Ovis aries: one gene and its partner. The protein of the gene in region 1 purifies or fractionates together with the protein of each later gene. This does not show direct contact. Links are inferred from orthologs where the notes say so. Each region holds a gene or a part of one and is shown on either strand. Other genes may lie near its edges.

The links. The genes of interacting proteins can lie anywhere in the genome.
Region 2: the proteins of COPA (region 1) and COPG1 purify together in Homo sapiens (affinity purification with mass spectrometry; 6 studies listed by BioGRID and IntAct, counting the BioPlex papers as one, with this or other methods). This does not show direct contact. The link is inferred for Ovis aries from reciprocal best matches to the Homo sapiens genes COPA and COPG1.

Annotation. Positions count from the first base shown.
Region 1 is NC_056054.1:111,310,962-111,315,800, forward strand, and holds the end of COPA (coatomer subunit alpha), read right to left. Parts: intron 4,660-4,839; coding exon 4,473-4,659; intron 4,384-4,472; coding exon 4,273-4,383; intron 3,734-4,272; coding exon 3,572-3,733; intron 2,391-3,571; coding exon 2,196-2,390; intron 1,941-2,195; coding exon 1,881-1,940; 3' UTR 1,315-1,880; downstream 1-1,314. UniProt on the Homo sapiens protein: The coatomer is a cytosolic protein complex that binds to dilysine motifs and reversibly associates with Golgi non-clathrin-coated vesicles, which further mediate biosynthetic protein transport from the ER, via the Golgi up to the trans Golgi network.
Region 2 is NC_056072.1:59,020,630-59,025,975, forward strand, and holds part of COPG1 (coatomer subunit gamma-1), read left to right. Parts: coding exon 1-41; intron 42-280; coding exon 281-352; intron 353-479; coding exon 480-559; intron 560-1,506; coding exon 1,507-1,582; intron 1,583-1,683; coding exon 1,684-1,776; intron 1,777-2,250; coding exon 2,251-2,337; intron 2,338-3,154; coding exon 3,155-3,312; intron 3,313-3,403; coding exon 3,404-3,537; intron 3,538-3,828; coding exon 3,829-3,896; intron 3,897-4,108; coding exon 4,109-4,297; intron 4,298-4,885; coding exon 4,886-4,981; intron 4,982-5,346. UniProt on the Homo sapiens protein: The coatomer is a cytosolic protein complex that binds to dilysine motifs and reversibly associates with Golgi non-clathrin-coated vesicles, which further mediate biosynthetic protein transport from the ER, via the Golgi up to the trans Golgi network.

The sequences.
Region 1 (4,839 bases):
CAGCTTTTTCTTTGTATTATTCTCTTGATTAAGGACATTTTTGGTTCTCCATTGTTTATTAACCAGCTTCAAATTCTTGTCTGGTATTTCATATTTATCCATTGTTTCCCAGTTGGTGATGGACAGGGAGGCCTGGCGTGCTGCAGTCCATGGGGTGGCAAAGAGTTAGACACGACTAAGCTGAACTAAGATTATGTAAGCTTCATGAGGATTGTCCACTTTTTTCATATCCCTTAGTTCATTATGTTGATATGCAAAACTAATTTTATAATTTAAGTTTTAAACTTAAAAAAAAACTTACTGAAATGATCAACTTGCCTAGGTTACAGTAAGAATGTTTGTAACTTGAGAAACTGTTATAAAACTAGTATGCAAATTTTTTGAGAAGGCAGACATATTTTGGGGATACTATGTTTAAGAAAACATCTTTTTTAAAAAAATTTTTTAATGTGAGATCTTAGTTCCCCAACTAGGGATTGAACCTGTGCCCCATAGAGTGGAAGTACAGTCTTAACCACTGGACCACCAAGGAAGTAGCAAGAAAGTATCTTTTAAAGCTAAAAAGACACACAGGCCTGCACTCTTTGATGTAGGAATCACACAATTCTAGTTTATCCTCCAGGCTCACTTTCCCCACCTGTACAATGTATGTTCAAGATGTTCATTGCACCACTGTTTATAACAGTCAAATATCAATCAATAAGTATATCCATCAATAAAAAGGCAACTTAAAATCCTTAAGTAGTATGCTTCCATTTAGATACAGTAGGGGGATAGGGAAGAACACATTGACATCTGCTTGTATATACATTTAAAAAAAAACCTCTGGCAGGATTTAAGGAAGCTAAGAACGGCAGTTACCTGTTTTGGGGAAGGTGATAGGAACTGGGTGGCTGAGGGAAAGCAGAGGAGGAAGACATTACTGAATAGCTTTCTAAATTTATTGATTTGTGAACTAAATGTACTGTTTATTGAAAACATGAATTTGAAATGACAGTATATATTTTAATCAAAGGTACACTATATCACTCTACCAAATTAATCTTACTACATGACAAGCAAAATATGTTGTACTATATACAGTGTATTACTAATTAGCAATGGATGGAAGGTTGCAGTCAACAATGGAATAGGGAACTACTTGCTTTCTCCCATTCTCACAGTTTACTTTAAAAACAAAAAAATCACTAGGTATTTACTACCTTTGTAATTAAAAATAATTATTGAAGGAAAGATATCTGCTTGGATGGGGCAGCTACATGAAGTAAGGAGGAATGTGAGTATGTCCAGGAAACAAATGACAAGCCACAAAACTCTCATAAAAATCTACTTTATTTTGTGTGAGAAACAAAATACAAGAACAATGTTTAGAAAGAATAAATCAACAAAAAGTGATATGCATTTCTGGGAAAACAAACACTTTCTTCTCAGACTTCAAGTTTCTGGGCACAGAGAGGCTCTATCTGCTTAGGAGTTTGAATGTCCAAGGAAAATGGGGATGGCTAAGAGCTTGCTATGACTGAGTAAAAGACGCTATCTTATTTATTACATCTCATTTCTTTCTAACAAAAGGCACACATGGGGTGGAAAGGGAAAGGATAAATATTGAAGGAATTTACTATTTAAATGTTCATCACAAATGTTCTTTGAAAGATCTACGCTGGGAAGGCAAGGCTAAGTGTGACCACAACTATAAGTCACCTTGAGAAGATGAGAAGTTCTCAGAGGCAAAAAAAAAAGTCAGGTTTAGACTTGATTAGCCATACAAGAAGAGAAAAGGACATTAGATTTTAGGGCAGGGAGAACTAAACACCAACATGAACAGTAGTTAAGGAAGATGCAGGAAACATGGTGTTTGACCCTATACACAGAAAGGGGCCTCAGCGAAACTGCAGAGGGCTGATCCTCAAACCAATCACATCTTTGCCAATCTCTGTCACCTATGGAAGAAGAAAAAAAATTAGGGGATTTTGAGGGTGAGAAGCCTAGAGGGTCTACTCCCTGCCCTCCTAGTGAGGACAGGAGAGTGCTTTGTTATGGTTACTGATCGTAAGGAGTGGTGGGGAGAAGTTCTACCTTTCTCCAATGTCATCACCTTAAGGTGTGAGGCAGGAATACAGGGAACCAAAGGACCAATATGCCTTCTTTCCCCTTCCCTCAATATTCTAGATTCATTTCTCAAGGACAGTACTTACCGTAGTGACCTTGCAGATCTGACCTTTAAACTCAGGGGAATAGCAGGCCCCACTGAGCGGACATTTCTCCACTGGCTTTCCACGGTAGATGGGCCGATAAGATGCAGCACAGATGTCGAAAGGGTTGTGCATGTCATAATTGAGCTGATAGGCATCTGTGGGGTTTTTCTCACAGGCAGACAGGATTTTGCGGGTCTAAGGGAGGGAAGGAACGTTTTGTTTAAAAGGACTGAAAACTGCACACCACAACTCAAATGACCTCAACACCATGGTTAGTAGCTTCTTTGATGTAAGAAGCAATTGTACTGACTGAATACAGAGTAAGTTCTCTGCACAGGTCATATGAAGGAATAATAATTGCCATTCCTATTGTATTAGGGTTTTTCCTTTTCTATCCCAAAGTGGCCCTATGGAACTAGACCCATAGTGAAGTGAAGTAAAAGTTGCTCAGTCGTGTCCAACTTTTGCGACCCCATGGACTATACAGTTCATGGAATTCTCCAGGCCAGAATACTGGAGTGGGTAGCCTTTCCCTTCTCCAGGGGATCTTCCCAACCCAACGATTGAACCCAGGTCTCCCGCAGTGCAGGTGGATTCTTTTACCAGCTGAGCTACAGGGGAAGGCTAACTAGACCCATACTTCTCCACTAAGTCTGAGAATTCTCAGGGTTGGCCATGAAAGGGTTAAAACTGGCTTTCACTGCCCAAATAAAAAAGCTTTCAGAAAGCACAAGTAATGGGACATGTATATATATAGAGGTAACTAGTGTTGATAAGGAGAAACCTAGAACTTAAGGACAGTTCGGGGCTGACTTTCAGCTACAGAGGAGCTATTTGATGTCACAGGTCATACTTTCAGAGTGGAGCCATGTCTGAGTAAGGTATTTGTTTAGTTTCCAGGAATAAAAAGGGGGTCCTCATGCCATACACAGAGAAGGCAATGGCACCCCACTCCAGTACTCTTGCCTGGAAAATGACATGGATGGAGAAGCCTGGTAGGCTGCAGTCCATGGGGTGGCTAAGAGTCGGACACAGCTGAGCGACTTCACTTTCACTTTTCACTTTCACGCACTGGAGAAGGAAATGGCAACCCACCCCAATGTTCTTGCCTGGAGAATCCCAGGGACAGGGGAGCCTGGTGGGCTGCCGTCTATGGGGTTGCACAGAGTTGGAAATGACTGAAGCGACTTAGCAGCAGCATGCCATACAGAGGTCCTCATCCTCTGTATGTAAACAGAGGATGGCATCTTGTTGCCTCTTTTGTTGAATGCTGTAATACAGCACTTTGTTTCTGAGACAAGAACCTTGGTCTTTGACCCCCTCCATGTAAAAGGAGATCCAGTTCTCCTATGCTCACTGAAGGAGTTCCCATATACCTGTTGAGCCACCTCCGGCTTGGGTCCAAGTTCCAACAGGCGCCGAGCAAAGGTGGCAGCAGTCTTAAAGTTCTTGAGCTTGAAGAAGAGGTTGAGGGCTGTACGCAACACCAGGATCATGTGCACTGGCTGCAGGTTTGAGTGGGTGAAATAGGCTGCCATCTGGTGGACAGAAAGAGGACCATATGTCAGGCTGATGCTAAAGCTAGGATAGATCATTTATAAGTTGTTGCACACGCATTAAAAACACAACAAAACCACCAAATAAACACCGGACTGGCTATAAAACAGAGAAAGCTTCTGCCTCCTAGTTATAGAGAACTTATGGGATGAGGAAGAAGGGTGGAGAAATACATACTACTGTCACAGAAACAGGTGCAAATTTCTCTCACTCCCCATATTGAGACCTAAAGAATTCAAACTCCATAGAGGCTTCCCAGGTGGCACTAGCAGTAAAGAGCCCACCTGCCAGGGCAGGAGAGGTAAGAGACCCGGGTTCGATCCCTGGGTGGGGAAGATCCCCTGGAGATGGAAATGGCAACCCACTCCAGTGTTCTTGCCTGGAGAATCCCATGGACAGAGGAGCCTGGCGGGCTACAGCCCAGAGGGTTGCAAAGAGTCAGACATGACTGAAGTGACTTACTATTCATTCATTCAGAGGGTAAAAGGGACAATGCCTCTGTACTGCTCAGAGGGCTTACCTCACAGATGCGCTTCTGCTGTTCTAGAGTTTCTTTGGGCAGTTTCTTCCTTTCTATCTCCATGGACAAACCCACAATGTACTCACGGCAAATGGTGATAAGCTGCTGAGCCTGGAGAGAGGGGACAAAAGAAGGTCACGGTACAGATGCAAGACTAGGGGGGTGCCTAGCACTATGACAAGCAGCTAGACTGCTCTTACCTCTGCAATCTCTTGTTTATTGTCCACAACAAGAAGTGGCACACTGAGTAAAATGGAACGGAATTTTTCCACAGCCTCCTCAAACTTGCCAACTGTGGTGAGCTGGTAGCACAGCTGCAACCGTTGGATGAGGTCATTAAGCTTCAGGCCCACAGCTGGTACACCATTCTTCAGCCCTGCATCCTTCCTGAAAGAGAAAAGCAGAAAGAAGACAGGATGATTAGGAGCCCACTTCAACCTAACTTCTGGAAACACGATCACAACGGCCTACAGTGAAAAAAGCCAGGGAAAAGTGGCAAGCCAAAGATCTTTTCCTACTAGGAAACATCAGCTTTGGGACAATGCTGATATTCCCTGAGGCTACCAT
Region 2 (5,346 bases), on another chromosome or scaffold:
GTGCCCACATCCTCACCAAGATCCTTTACCTCATAAACCAGGTAACAGGGTGAGGCTTGGGGGTGCAGAAAATGGTACTGGGGTGTGTTGGAGGCAGGGGCACAGCCCCTGTGTGGTTGCAGCCAGCGGCCCATCTCCGGGTGCCCTCAGGGTCCCACTCTGAGGTGCTGCCCTTGATGCAGCCTCGGCTGGGTCTGAGGCTCCGACCTGGGCTGTCTTAGCAGGAAGAGCCTTCCGGCCTTTCTGTCCCAAGCTGAGGCTTCTTTCTGAATTGCAACAGGGGGAGCACCTGGGGACCACGGAAGCGACCGAGGCCTTCTTCGCCATGACCAAACTCTTCCAGTCCAATGACGTAAGTGCCGCCACCCCTGCCCTCCTCCGGGGGGACAGCTCTCAGGATGGTGGGAGGGCCCCTGTCAGAGGCGGCCCCTGGGTCAGGCTGAGCCGGGGGTCACCGGGCTCTCTCCTCTCCTGCCCAGCCCACCCTCCGTCGGATGTGCTACTTGACCATCAAAGAGATGTCGTGCATCGCAGAGGACGTCATCATCGTGACCAGCAGGCGAGTCCCAGGTCCCTGATGGCTGCACCCATGCCGAGCCCGTCTTCTCCGAGCTCCCGCCGCTCAGTCCTCGGCCACGTGTTGCCAGCGCCCTTGCCTCCTTTGCTCTCTCCTCGCCCTCTCCTTCACTTACTCTGCCCAGCCATGGCGCCTCCAGGGGGGGCGGTTCTGCTTGTAATTCTCTGGCCTGGAGTTAGGCACAAACCGTCCCTTCCCTGCTTCCTCTTGGTCCGCTGAGGCAGCCCAGAGCCTCCACGGCGACTCCGGCTCTTCCCAGGAGAGCCCGGGAAGAAGCGACGGGGACGGGGGGCGGTGGGGTGCACGAAGCCCCCAGGCAGACTTTCCCACGAAGGGCTGCTGTGCTCAGGAGGCATTCGGCTCCGGGCCGCCCCTGGGCTCCATTCGCGTGCTTCTCCTCGACGCAGTTTGGGGGTTTGCTACCCATGCGTGTGTAGGCTCACTTAGAGAGTGTGGCAGACGTGGCTTCCGCAGCCCCAGAGCTTCCCGGGAGGTAACCCCACAGACCGGCACTGGGGGGGGAGGGGTGTGACGGCTGTGAGAGCAGGCCAGGAGGACCGCCAGCTTGAATCTGGGTCAGGCAAGGCCTCCTGGAACTGGGGGAGTGGAGTCCTGCAGGGCAAGGCAGGCAGAGCAGGACAAAGGTGGGGTGGGTGGAGTGCAGCTGCCAGGACCTGGGGGCAGTCCAGGGGCTTCTCCGTGACCCCTCAACGGGGAGAGTGGCAGGAAGTCCCACCTGGGGAGGTTGCCGTCGCAGCAGGGCAGTGACCCGGGCAGTGTGGAGTTTCATGGAGACCTCTTGATGAAGGGTTAGGAGCCCAGAGCAGACACCCATTAATAATGGAGACGGGCCTGCTGACCCGGTTGGGGTGGGTGGGGTGTGGGAGCAGGCCCGGCCCCCGCGTGAGGCCTGTGCCGTGTCCCCGTAGCCTGACCAAGGACATGACCGGCAAGGAGGACAGCTACCGGGGCCCGGCCGTGCGTGCCCTATGCCAGATCACCGACGTGAGTGCCCCGCTTGGGGAGGGGCGTGGGGTCCCCAGGGCGCACACCTGCTCCCCTCCTCCTGGCCTCTGCCCCACATCCTGTCGCCTGCGCCCCCACAGAGCACCATGCTGCAGGCCATCGAGCGCTACATGAAGCAGGCCATCGTGGACAAGGTGCCCAGCGTCTCCAGCTCCGCTCTCGTGTCTTCACTGGTGTGTAGCCTGGGGCCAGGGCTGGGGCTGGGCCTGGGCTGGGCTGGGGCGGGGCCTGGGCTGGGGCGGGGCCTGGGTTGGGGCGGAGCGGGGCTGGGGCTGGGGCAGGGGCAGGGGCAGGGGCAGGGGCAGGGGCAGGGGCAGGGGCAGGGGCAGGGGCTGCTCCGGAGGCTGAGCTGAGGAGACATCAAAGATCGCTTTCGCAAGGAAAACCAAAGCTGTGTGGCCCCAGTTGTGAGAGTCCCACCCCCTGCTCTGTGAAGAGTGCCCAGGGGTCTCTGGGTGGATTGAGGGCCCAGTTGGCGGCCTTGACCCATGCCCTGGGGTGACAGGTTTTGGGGATTTGAGCCTGGCAGGAAGTCCGCCAGGGCAGGAGGAGTGAGGGTGGGAGCCGTGCTGAGTCTGCGCCTTCTCGGAGGACCCCGACAGCAAGGTGTCCTGCCCGCCCCGCTCAGCGTGCCCTGTGCCCCACAGCACCTGCTCAAGTGCAGCTTCGACGTGGTCAAGCGCTGGGTGAATGAGGCCCAGGAGGCCGCGTCCAGTGACAACATCATGGTCCAGGTGAGTCGCGAACAGGGCAGGGATGCTAAAAATACTCAGGCGCTGGCCAGCAGGATGGGCTTTCATCACGGAGGTCCTGGCGGCCCCTGGCCGGAGCAGGCTTCAGTCCTTATCTCGTGGTGGGGAGACTTGGGGGTTTGAGGAAAAGAATCCAGGTCATCTCTTACAGGGAGAATTGGTGTACAGACTTGATGGGCTCATGCTAAAATACTGGCTTGGTTTAAAAACCAGCGAGTATTATTTTGGGTGTGTGATGCCATCTCCCTGGTGCCTGGTGAGGGTTCAGTGGCAGCCTCTGCCCTCCTGTCCAGACCTGCAGGCCCCCCGTGTGGGCATCTGTTCCCTCTCCCCATGTCTTAGTGGTGGATCTCGTTTCCAGGGCCCACTCTGGCCCCTCAAACCCTCCAGGATCACAGAGGCTTCTTCCCACGTAAAAGGCCCTGAGCGCCGCCCTAGTAAGGATTCCGGAGGGCAGAGGGGATGGTCTGTGCCTCCCCTCCCCCTGCTGGCTTCGCAGCAGCAGCCACGCATCCTGGGGCGGGGCCGGGGGGCCGAGGGCCTGCTGTAAGGGCGCCCGTCTGCACGGCCCCCGAGATGTCCTCAGCCCAGGCCGGCTCCGCTTCCTCTTTCTGGGCGGAGACCCCTGGTCTCCAGTTCCTCCGTCTGCGCGGCGCCTGGCGGGGTTGGGGGACGGAGGCCTGCAGAGTCCCAGGTGGCTCAGTGGGCGTGGCCCACACCTGGGCTCTGTGCCCACCCCAGAGGTGGGGAGCGGGCCCCGTGGCGTCAGGCCTCACTCGCGCTGCTCTACAACCCCCAGTACCACGCGCTGGGGCTCCTGTACCACGTGCGGAAGAACGACCGCCTGGCGGTCAGCAAGATGATCAGCAAGTTCACGCGGCATGGCCTCAAATCCCCCTTCGCCTACTGCATGATGATTCGCGTGGCCAGCCGGCAGCTGGAGGACGAGGACGGCAGGTAGTGGCACCGCGCCAGCCGCACACCCCCCCGAGCCCTCGCCCAGCCCCCAGGCGGCCCCCCAGCGTCCTCTTGCCGCCTGTCGTTGCAGCCGTGACAGCCCCCTGTTCGACTTCATCGAGAGCTGCCTGCGCAATAAGCACGAGATGGTGGTGTACGAGGCCGCCTCGGCCATTGTCAACCTGCCCGGGTGCAGCGCCAAGGAGCTGGCCCCAGCTGTCTCAGGTGCCCAGGCCCCGCCCCCCGCCCGCCCCGTGCAGCTGGGTCTCCCAGGGGCGAGGCCCTGCCTGGGGTGGACAGGTGCGCTCTCCTCATTTGGGGAGGCCATGCCAGTTGGGGGATAGGTGAGTGGGGGATTTGGGTCTGAACAGTCTCTGAGCCTTGGTCCCCAAACTGCGCCCGGTGCCCTGTCTGTGCCCCTTCCGGGGCCCCTGGGTTTCCTGGCTGCGGCGCGGTGGCAGCCCTCACCGGCCTCTGCCTCGCGGGGGCAGCCCTCACCGGCGTCTCCCCCCGCAGTGCTCCAGCTCTTCTGCAGCTCGCCTAAGGCCGCCCTCCGTTACGCCGCCGTCCGCACCCTCAACAAGGTGAGTTCGCAGTGGACAGAGTGGGGCCGGCCTTCCGACAGGGCTGGGGGCGGGGGCCCCCGCGGCAGGAGGTGCAGCCCTCCTGCAGCTAGATAGAGGTGCAGCTGGCCTCTATCCCCCAGGTGCTGGCGTGAGCCCACCTGAAGGGCCAGCAGAACAGTGGGAGGCCTCCCGTGGCCCGTCCGTGTCGTCACCTGTTTGCTCCCGGACAGGTGGCCATGAAGCACCCGTCCGCGGTGACGGCCTGCAACCTGGACCTGGAGAACCTCGTGACAGACGCAAACCGCAGCATCGCCACGCTGGCCATCACCACGCTGCTCAAGACGGGCAGCGAGGGCAGCATCGACCGTCTCATGAAGCAGATCTCCTCCTTCATGTCCGAGATCTCGGACGAGTTCAAGGTGCACAGGCTGCGCCTGCTGCGGGGCGGGCCGGGGCTGCCGCGGGGCCTCGCTGTGGCGCCATGCGAGGCGCTGCTCCCAGCCTCCGTCGGCGAGGCGGGCGGCTCCAGGCCTGTCAAGCCCTTTGTTGTGTCCCGTGTGCGCGCTGTCTTGTGCTGGGCAAAGTCTGGAGGGGCGAGCAGAGCAGCGCGCACGCCGGCCTGCCCTCGGAGCTCGCTTTCTGGGGCGGGACCACGGGAGTTGACTCCGGAGTGGACGGGATCGTCCCCCATGCTGGAGCAGCGAGGAGACCCTCAGGGCGGCAGTTCCCGGGGGAGCCGCCTGGGAGGACCTGGGAAGGGCCAGCCAGGGCGTGTGTGCGCTTGCCCTGAGCTCTGAGTAGATGAGCAGACGGGGGAGCCCCACAGTGTGGATCGGGGCCTTGGACCGCGGTGCTCGCTGCCCTGCCCGGGGGGCTCGGAGGTCCCCTCAGCCCCTGGCCTGCCGTGCCGCGGCCCGGCCCCACCTGAGGAGGGGCTCTGCTGGGCTCGGGGACTGGAGGAGCCGCCCGCGGGGCTGGGCCGCGGCTCACGCCTGTCTCCGGCACAGGTCGTGGTCGTGCAGGCCATCAGTGCGCTGTGTCAGAAGTACCCCCGCAAGCACGCCGTGCTCATGAACTTCCTGTTCTCCATGCTGCGGGAAGAGGTGAGCGTGGGTGGCCTGGCTGCTGGCTCCCGGGCAGGCGGGCCTGGAGCCACCTGTTAGCTGGCTGGCTTCTGGTGCCCGCAGCCCCCTTGGCTCCTTGTGTGCAGGCAGTGCAAACATGCCCCAGTCACTGTGGTTACAGTCGTAACTGACAACGTGCCCCCCTGGCCATATAGACTCAGCAGATGCCCAAGGCGATGCTTAAGCAGAAGATGAATAACAATCTGTCTGGTGTCATCTGGTATAGAAATATTCTAGCCATTGCAATGTTTCATAAAAAAAATTTTCCCACAAAAATCGGTCCTTGGTGCCAAAAAGGCTGGAGACCGCTGTCATAAAATACACACGACGTAGAATTCATCAAG